2 linked regions of the Nothobranchius furzeri genome follow. The protein of the gene in region 1 purifies or fractionates together with the protein of each later gene. This does not show direct contact. Links are inferred from orthologs where the notes say so. Each region holds a gene or a part of one and is shown in the gene's direction. Other genes may lie near its edges.

Evidence for each region.
Region 2: the proteins of bms1 (region 1) and rcl1 purify together in Homo sapiens (co-immunoprecipitation; 4 studies listed by BioGRID and IntAct, with this or other methods). This does not show direct contact. The link is inferred for Nothobranchius furzeri from reciprocal best matches to the Homo sapiens genes BMS1 and RCL1.

The regions. Positions count from the first base shown.
Region 1 is NC_091756.1:4,735,293-4,739,870, reverse strand, and holds the start of bms1 (ribosome biogenesis protein BMS1 homolog), read left to right. Parts: upstream 1-1,617; 5' UTR 1,618-1,840; intron 1,841-4,578. UniProt on the Homo sapiens protein: GTPase required for the synthesis of 40S ribosomal subunits and for processing of pre-ribosomal RNA (pre-rRNA) at sites A0, A1, and A2.
Region 2 is NC_091746.1:49,083,813-49,088,303, reverse strand, and holds the start of rcl1 (RNA 3'-terminal phosphate cyclase-like protein), read left to right. Parts: upstream 1-1,492; 5' UTR 1,493-1,561; coding exon 1,562-1,691; intron 1,692-2,081; coding exon 2,082-2,153; intron 2,154-4,491. UniProt on the Homo sapiens protein: As part of the small subunit (SSU) processome, it plays a role in 40S-ribosomal-subunit biogenesis in the early pre-rRNA processing steps at sites A0, A1 and A2 that are required for proper maturation of the 18S RNA.

The DNA.
Region 1 (4,578 bases):
TCAGGGCTTTCATGACAGAATTCACATGGGTCAAGCTCAAAACCAAATCTACTCCTCAGTGTCACTGCTGATGGATAGTAGTTGTTAAGAATCTTAAGTTACATTTAATTTAACCTTTAAAAGCAGACTGAAAACACGTCTGTTCTCGCTGGCGTTTGGACATTGAAGTTAGGATTGCGTGGGCAGCTGCACTTTGAATGTGTCTGGATCTGATTTTGGAAAAAGGTCTGATATGGACTGCGAACTTGTACTCGGCATTTCTTATTGTATTTTAAATGGCTATATGTCTGTTTTCTTGTTGTGATTTTTATTGGTGTACAGCGCTTGCTTTGTCTGTTTTGGGCATGTGAAAGCGCTTTATAAATAAAGTTGATTTGATTTGATTTGATAACATTTACTGTGGGTGCTATTGGCCATTTAAAAACATTTTTTTAATGTTTTTCTACAATTCTTGGATTTCCTAACATTTGTAGTTTAATCTTTCATCATGATAGATATATCATTTAAAGGGTCAGTTAAAAAACTTATTTTCACATTTTCTGTTTGTAATTTTTAATACTCCTGTTGTTAAATGAGGACGTTTGGTTTGGACATTAGAGAAGCAAATTGTGGTTTTTTTTTATCTGTTATTGGTATTGACTTACATATTTTCTTATAACCCTTAAGGAAACATTGGTGATTGTTAAATTTGTATTTAAAATCTTGTAGTTGTAATATTTCACCATTTTTATCCATAACATGTATCATGTACAAAGACGCTTCCTTGGTCAAACCACTGCTGGTTGAACGAAGACTTTTTGTTTGGAACGATTACTTGATTATTCCACAAGGTGGTGCAATGCAGGGTAGAATAATGGGTAAATGATAGCATCTTCTAAAAATCCAAAACGTGTTTATGAAATTTCAAATAATTTAAATGGAAATTAGTGATTTCAAAGTCACATTTAAAAAGAAAGTTTAACCCACCAAACATCTTAAAGACATTTTTTGGAACATTGACTCTGGCTTAATTAGAAAATCTTTCAGCCACTTTATTTTAAATGTTCCCAACATTGCTTAAAAATCCACTGATTTCAAGCCTCCATCATCAAATTCTTTAACCAACTGAGATCTTTTGATATAGTGGGTTTTATTTCTCCAAATAAATTTGTATATAATAGAGTTAATATTATTCACAGTTTTTGGGGCGATGTAAAGAGATAGATGTGGATAAATCAGTTGGGAAATACCCACAATTCATTTCACCCAAAAATGGAAAGATCTCTGCTAAGCCACTGATTCAAAGTTTTTTGTATTTGATCACTTTTTCCTTTCATATTCATTTCTTCTGTTTTCGTCTGCGATCTTAACTCGCAGATAGTTAATTTCTTTTTAAACGGAAATTGACATTATTTCTTTATCTATACATTCATACAGTTAAAGTAATTCACATTTTTTTGTGTTCAGATGAAGACCTGATGCTTTGGGAACTTTTTATGTCGATGATCACTACCTACAATCCAGCGCGGAACCATTTATCTGTTATTTTCGCGACTCGGATTTCTATAAGGTGACACACTTCCGGTTCGGAGCTCTCGTTGCACACGTGAGATCAACAAAACTCAAACTAAAGCAGAACAAAAGCGCGTATTTACTCGTTTACTGAGGCTAATTTCTTACTGGACATTTCCGGTGGTGCGTGAGTTTCCGCGGAGACGAACTGAGCGGATTTTGTGTTTTATTTGGACTTTAATCCGCTTCGGGCGAGTTAAACACGCAGCACAGGCTCGGAAACTGGAGGAGAAAAGGTCCCGGTTCTCACTCGGGAACGGAGGAAAACAGCTGACTTAAAGGAGAAGAGGTAAAACACATCCCTGTGGTTTAATTTGAAACCAGATCAATTATAGGTACATTACGATGTTGTCACGTGTCATTCCAAAATATGAACGATAAATGAGCCGCACTTGTGTAGCGCCTCTCAGAGTAAGGACTCCAAAGCGCTTTACACTACAGTGTATCATTCATCCGTTCACACACACTGGTGGTGATGAGCTACGATGTAGCCACAGCTGCCCTGGGGCACACTGACAGAGGCGAGGCTGCCGAGCACAGGCGACACCGGTCCCTCCGACCACCACCAGCAGGCAGCGTGGGTTAAGTGTCTTGCCCAAGGACACAACAGCAGAATTCTCTGTCCGGAGCCTGGATCGAACCTGCAACCTTCTGAATACTGGACAACCTGTTGAGCTACTGCTGCCCCAGTTTGGTGATTCAGAGAGAGCAGGCTATAAAACCTTCTGAAATGTCCTCAGACTGACTGGGATGGCACCAGAAACCACCTAATGATAAAGGTTACCAGCTTCTTTGTTTCACCAACGTGCCGCACGCATCCATAGATTCTAGATAAATAATGCTGCCGTTCTCAGCACACGTCCTTATTAATCACAACTTTCTGTAGCTTGTTGGACTGTCTTGAGTATGACTAGTTGTGCCTATTTTTGTGGCACAACAACACCTTATTGTTAATGTTGAGGACATGCCTAAACATGCTTGGCTCGGAGAGAATTAAAATGGCTCAGGCTCAGCTGACCAACAACCTTTGAGTCGTAATCAGTTGTTTGTTGTTGTTGTTCTCTGTGTTTCCGCTACACAGGCTCAACTTCCGCTTCTTTTGTTCTCCAGTAAAAGCTGCAGGGGTAGGGAACCCTGGCCCTGGAGAGCTGCCGTCCAGCACGTTTAGAGGTTTCAGTACTTCAACACAGTTCATTCACATGTTCAGCAGCTCGTTAGGCTCTACAGGTGCGCACTAAACACCTGCTGATTAAAATCAAGTGTGTTGTTGCTTGGAAGCCTCTAAACATGCTGGACAGCAGCTTGCCAGAACCAGGGTGCCTTACCCCTCCGATAAATGCACAGTAATTAACTTTTCGATATTTTATCATCAATGTCACTATCCAGTAAAAGGCAAAAGGAACACTTACAAGCAGCATATAGGGTAACATCTGTTATCCAGTGTTGGGAACGTTACTTTAATAAAGTAATTAGTTATAGTTACTGATTACTTTGTCAAAAAAGCAACTCAGTTACTGAGTTACGAGATTATAAAAGTAACTAATTACCAAGAAAAATAACTATTTTGTTACTTTTTCCATTAAAGAATGCAAAAAAATGGGTTAATTGAACTTTGTAAGTGCGTTACCGACACCTCTCTCTCCCTGGCTGCAGCTGAAGTGTGGCGGTCAGAAAGCCTCACGCTGCTGCTCAACGTTCGACAAGCACATAGTAACGCACAACCTTCCGTCCCCAGTAACGGTAACGGCGTTACAACAGTGGGAAAAGTAATTAATTAGATTATTCCGTTACCTAAAAAAGAACGCCGTTAGTAACGCCGTTATATTAAACGCCGTTACTCCCATCACTGCTGTTATCACCCATTCCTATGACTTCAGGGCTTGTTTTTGTCAACATCCAACAGCTTTTCCCCTGTGGTCACAAGACTGCTCTCCTCCCAGTATCTTCCTTTTGTGTTGGGCCCAACCACAATACTCGCACTGCGTGCGCCCTGCGGTCTTCAGCAAAGTGCACTTGGAGAAAGTGTGCAGTAGGGTTCGAGTGTGTAGCACACAAGTGTGCAAATTATTGCCGAACTGAGACAGGGAGCATTGCGTCATCGATCGCAACGCATGCCAGGCTGCTGGTCGCTGTGAAACTTTTTTCAAAAACCTTCATTAAATTTCAAACAAATAAAGTAATTATTTGAAATAAATTTTACTTCATTGCTGCTTTGTCAAAAATATTCAGACCTTCATGCTTATTTAGTCCTAAAATGAACTAATTTCATTAGAAAATACATATTTTCATAAAAGGAACTTGAGCCGTTCCTCCTGCAGCAATGACTTGTGGATAATACCCTTACCCGAGGTCCGCATTGCTGCAGACTTGGGTGAAGTGCAGATTAAGGGTGCAATGGGGGCGTGGTCAATTTCCGCACTTGAGAATTGGGACACCCTTCGCACCCCTGGCCAGGAGCGCACAATTGCAGTTCGCAAGGGTGATTATTGAGATTGGGCGTGTCCGATGGTTCGCTGAACGTGACAGTAGCGGCAGCTGCAGGAGCGGGTTGTCGGCTCAAAGCGTCCAGCGTCTCTCGACTCTCCGAGGGCGTTCAGGCTCCTTGTGTGGGAAAATGGTCGCTAAAGCGTCTAGTTTCAGCCTTCTCTTGTACCCAGCCGCTCTGGTGAGCTCTTTAAGTCGTTGTGGTCGTCTATAAGCCTCAAACGCATCAGGAGGAAAATGTTGGGAACACAGCCATGGATCTTTGGGAAGTTGTGTCCGTCCACAGGCATCTTCCCACTGCTTTCTCCTCTTGTTGCCAGTGGGAAAGCTGTAAACTCACATCACTCCCCTTGTTGCCCTCTGACTGGAAATTACATCCAAAAGCAGCACAATGCGGCATTTTACTTAATTATTAATACGGCGAGCACGTAAACAAACAATAGCGTCAATAGCTATTCCTCCAAGTACAACCAATATACGTCATCACCCCCCAGAGTGCATTGCTTTTGGAAAACACGGCGTCCTACGTATGTCAAAAATGTA
Region 2 (4,491 bases), on another chromosome or scaffold:
TGCATTTATTGATAAATCCCTTAAATTCCTGTCCATTTGCAATCAAACTTCTGGCATTCCATTGTAATATAATCATGCTGTCCTGTCACCAGGACCTCCCGCTTTCCCTTCCTCCCCAAGTATTTTATTGTTCCCATGAAAAAATGTCTTTAATGCCAAAAAATCTCTCTGCTCCTTTCAATTATTTTTATCTTCTCTGTTCGTTTCACTTGAGCAGTACAGTTTATGACATACGCCATAAACAAAATCATCTTCTCTGTCAATCCTGTGTGAGTTTCTTGTGTCTGCACAAAATCTGATGGCGACTCTGTATGAACTTTTCTAGCCTCATTCTTTCCATTCTGTGCCTTTTAGAGCCTCTGTGTAGCTGATGCCATGAACCACTTATATTTGTTCAACCTGCACTGCCTTCTAGAAAACACTAGAAGACTAGAAAACATCATAAAATGTGACTTAATGTTGCAGATTAAAAAAAAACACAGACTAGTTTAGTTATCCTGTGATCGTGTGCTGGAGAAATGTTAGATATTTGTTTAGGTTTTTACTGATCCTTTAAGAAAAGGAGAGAAGAAGGCCCCGACCACAGAAGTTTAATTTATGGTCTGGCTTGAGGGTGCTGCCATCTAGCGCCTAGATAGGTTTAATTTAGGAAAGTACATTGTTTGCATTATTGTAGTCACGATAATAAAACATTCACCCAAAATTTTAATATTATTAAAATATTATTATTAATAAATTAATATTATAGACATTTTAAAAACCTAGTAGCCATTTATATGTCACAATTAGAGTATTTTACTCACTTGTGAAAAGTTTTAATCACAGTATAATTTCTGATTATCTTGCAAAATATGAAAACGATTTTAATGTTCTTACCCCTTAGAGATTTAGATTTTTCCCAAGTCCCTGTTTTTCTCTTCCATTGGGTAACATGTAATGCAGTAATAGTAAGTCGGTTTGACCTCTCCAGAGGAAAGACGTAAACACTTCATTTCAAGAGGACAATAAGCTGCAGGCCTAATAATGCATTTTATCTGTACTTACAGATGTTGTTCAACAAAAAAATAAATTATTGTAGACTTCTGTGACACCCCCCCCCCCCCCCCCAACATTGTCATCATTCGATTTCTTTGAATCGTTTATAAAATTACATACACTCTAACAATGCCAATTTTTCTGAGACTTTGGACACATGATGGGTTGGCCGTCAGCAGAGAAATAGCCTAATATAAATTCCCAAGAATTTAAGAGGCTTCTTTTAAAGTTTGCGGGCCAGCACCTCTCAATAAATTACTCTTTATAAACAAATACATGCTATGTATGTTTGTGTTATTGAATTACTCCTTAATATCGTACAAATACATTTTCCTTTGTTATATTCGGGGTTTTATGTCTTTCGTGATAACTGGTTGGTGAGGTAACAACCTCTTTTTCTACACTGGGTAGGTAACAACCGGTAACAACAAGAAGACATTTTTGACCCTCGCCGTTTGCTGTATTCGCGCCTCCCTCCAACGCCTTTCTGCCACACGTGGATGTTGCGCGAGGCATAAACAACAACATGGCAAGCAACGGACTCTCTTATGACGGCTGTAATTTTTTCAGACAGCGGCTGGTTTTATCGACTCTCAGCGGGAAGCATGTGAAAATAAAAAACATCCGGTCTAAGGACGACAACCCGGGGCTTCGCGGTGAGTCGCAGCTTCGCTCCGCATGTGGCGTCGCAGTTAGCTAGATTGCTAACGGGCTAGCTGTTACGCAGTTGGGAGTGTGTTTAGAAGCTGGGAGTTAGATGTAGGAAAATTGCCATGTATGGGTGAAAATGCGAGGGCAAATACGAGATAAACATTTTGTCACATTGTTGTAACAGTTTATGTCGTTGTCAAGCTTAGAAACTGCGCAAATATGTTTGACCACCTCTTAATTGAGTTTGTTTTGTTTATAGTAACTTGAATCTTTAAAGATTGAAAATTCACCTCGAGTTTGAGCTGCGTGTTTAATAAAATAAGTTTTCTGAGTTACTTAGGGATAAAGTGTTTTTGTTGACTAGTTTTACTTTTTGTTTGATTTGTTTTGTCCAGATTTCGAGGCCAGCTTTGTCAGACTACTCGACAAAGTGACCAATGGTTCCAGAATAGAGATAAATCAAACAGGTGAGTGACAAAAACATATTTTAGATAATTGCAAATATTTCTTGTCAATATCATTCACAAAAATCGTCAATACTATTTTATATTTTACCTACATTTCATATGTGGTTAATTAGACTCCATCTAAAACTGGTTACTAGACTCAGGTTTAATCCAGGGAAACATCTAAAACATTCAGGCTGTTGGTTTACAGAGATAAAATCCGAGAAACACTTTGAATTATTATTATTTTTAGGTGTGTACAAATTGGTTGGTACAGTATTTATTTGTCTTGTTTATTTGGGTTCTATGAATAAATACATTTAGATTTGGAATTGGGTTTTATAAATAGTTTATTTTTTTCATTTGATTTACAACTAGATAATTTATATTTGAGTAAAATTAATCGGGATACGTATTTCTTGTTCTATCTTTACAGCTGTACTTAATTGTTTGCTGTTAAAATAAAACATGAATGAAACACAACCTTCAGATCTGCCGTTTTCTATTACCGGTATTCTGTTTTAAAACACTCTTAGATCTGGATACACCTTTTTTAATACTGCATTCATTGTATTTGTTATTGTTTAAGGAAAGTAGAAAGCTCATTTCTTGTCTAAATCACTTCCAGCTAGCGGATCAAATTTTCTGGTTCTTTGAGGAGAGGTAGACCAGTCACACACTAACTCTGTTCCTAATACACTCTCAAAAATGACCATCAGTCAGTAGGTTGGTTTAGCTTGGTTTAAATAAAACAAAAACTTAGACAATGGTAAAAATAACAAACACAGTTATTGTTTGTTGGATACAAATGACTCCCCATGGTCATCAGTCAAAAGGGCCCAGAATCTTCTCATACATTAGTTTGTGACCTGTATACTCGAGCAACATTTTCATTTAATTAATAAAGATGAGTATTATTGAAGTTTATAGGAACAGAAATCATTGTTTGATCAAAGCAGGCAGATTCAAATAACTGTAGTTTTTTTCAGATGCACAGTTCTGTTGTAGTATTAGATACATTTGTTAAAGGATGACTGTGGGGCGGTCACTAGGAGGCGCTACGTGGTTGATGATGTAATCAGCTAACTGTATAATTGATCTGATGCTTTGTTCTGGGATCAGTTGGAGTGAGTAAATCGTGTGGGAGAAACTTACCTCTGTCATCCTTGACTCTTCCATTGGTGACCTCAATGTGGACGATCATGACAATGACTGACGACACGACCCACCCAGTTCCAGCCCCGCCCACTGCTGCTGAAGCTACACCGGTTCTGGCGCTCTTGTCTGCAGTTGCTGTTAAGCTCCCGGACTTTTGGCTACATGATCCTGCGTCATGATTTTCCCACATTGAAGCACAGTTTGCTCTGCGTGGATTGTCAGACGACAACAACGGTGTTGTTGCTGCACTGGATCGGTCCACGCGTCGAGTCATGAGTCTGCTTCAGAACCTTCCAGCCCAGGGGAATTATGTCACCCTCAAGCAGCTGTTGCTAAGGCGCTACACACTTTCAGGAGGCAGAATGAACGGAGAAACTTCTTTCTCTCACCGGTTTGGGTGACAGCACCGCCCTGGATCTCATGGATCTCATGCTTTACCTCCTTGGTTCTGACGATGGAGAATTCCTCTTTGTCCACCTCTTCCTTTGTGAGCTCCCGCTTCAGGTGCACACGGCGCTTGCTAATTCCCCACCTGCTGCAACAAAGGGATTAACTCGCACTGGCCGAAGAAGCTGACCTCATCTTCCAGACCACGAGGACCTTGACAACCTAGGATGTGGTCCCGCCATGCGTGGAGACAATGCTCGATTCTTCACACAGGTCTGTCCAACTTCCCTCGGTGGCCAGCATTGCAGCTAAAGATTGCCAAGGAGCTGCTTTTTGTTTTTACCACCAGTGTTTTGGTGCCGAAGCGTGACGCTGCCTCCCCCTTTGCTCTTTCACATTCAGCATGTGAAGGGAGCTGGTCTCAAGCTTGCACACATCCTGGGAGATCAACCTCAGTTGGGGGCCCAGGCTCCTCTTAGAGGGCTTCCTCTCTCTGCCAACCTGGAAACCATCCAATCCCATTGGGTTCTTCTCATCCACACCAGAACAGAACTTACTGGGCGGGAACCACACCACCCAGCTTCAGCAACTAACCCAGGTCACCTGATCAAGACCCCTACAGGACTTTCTGGGTGTTCAATGGGGGCGTGTGTGGCGGGATACTAGGAGGCTCTACTCACACCCAGAGAAGCAGGATGCTATGTGGGTTGATGATGTAATCAGCTAACAGTATAAGTGTACTGATTTTAATTTTGTGATCAGTTTGGAGCGAATAAAGCTTGTGGGTTAAACTTAGTCCTGTGTCGTCTTTGAC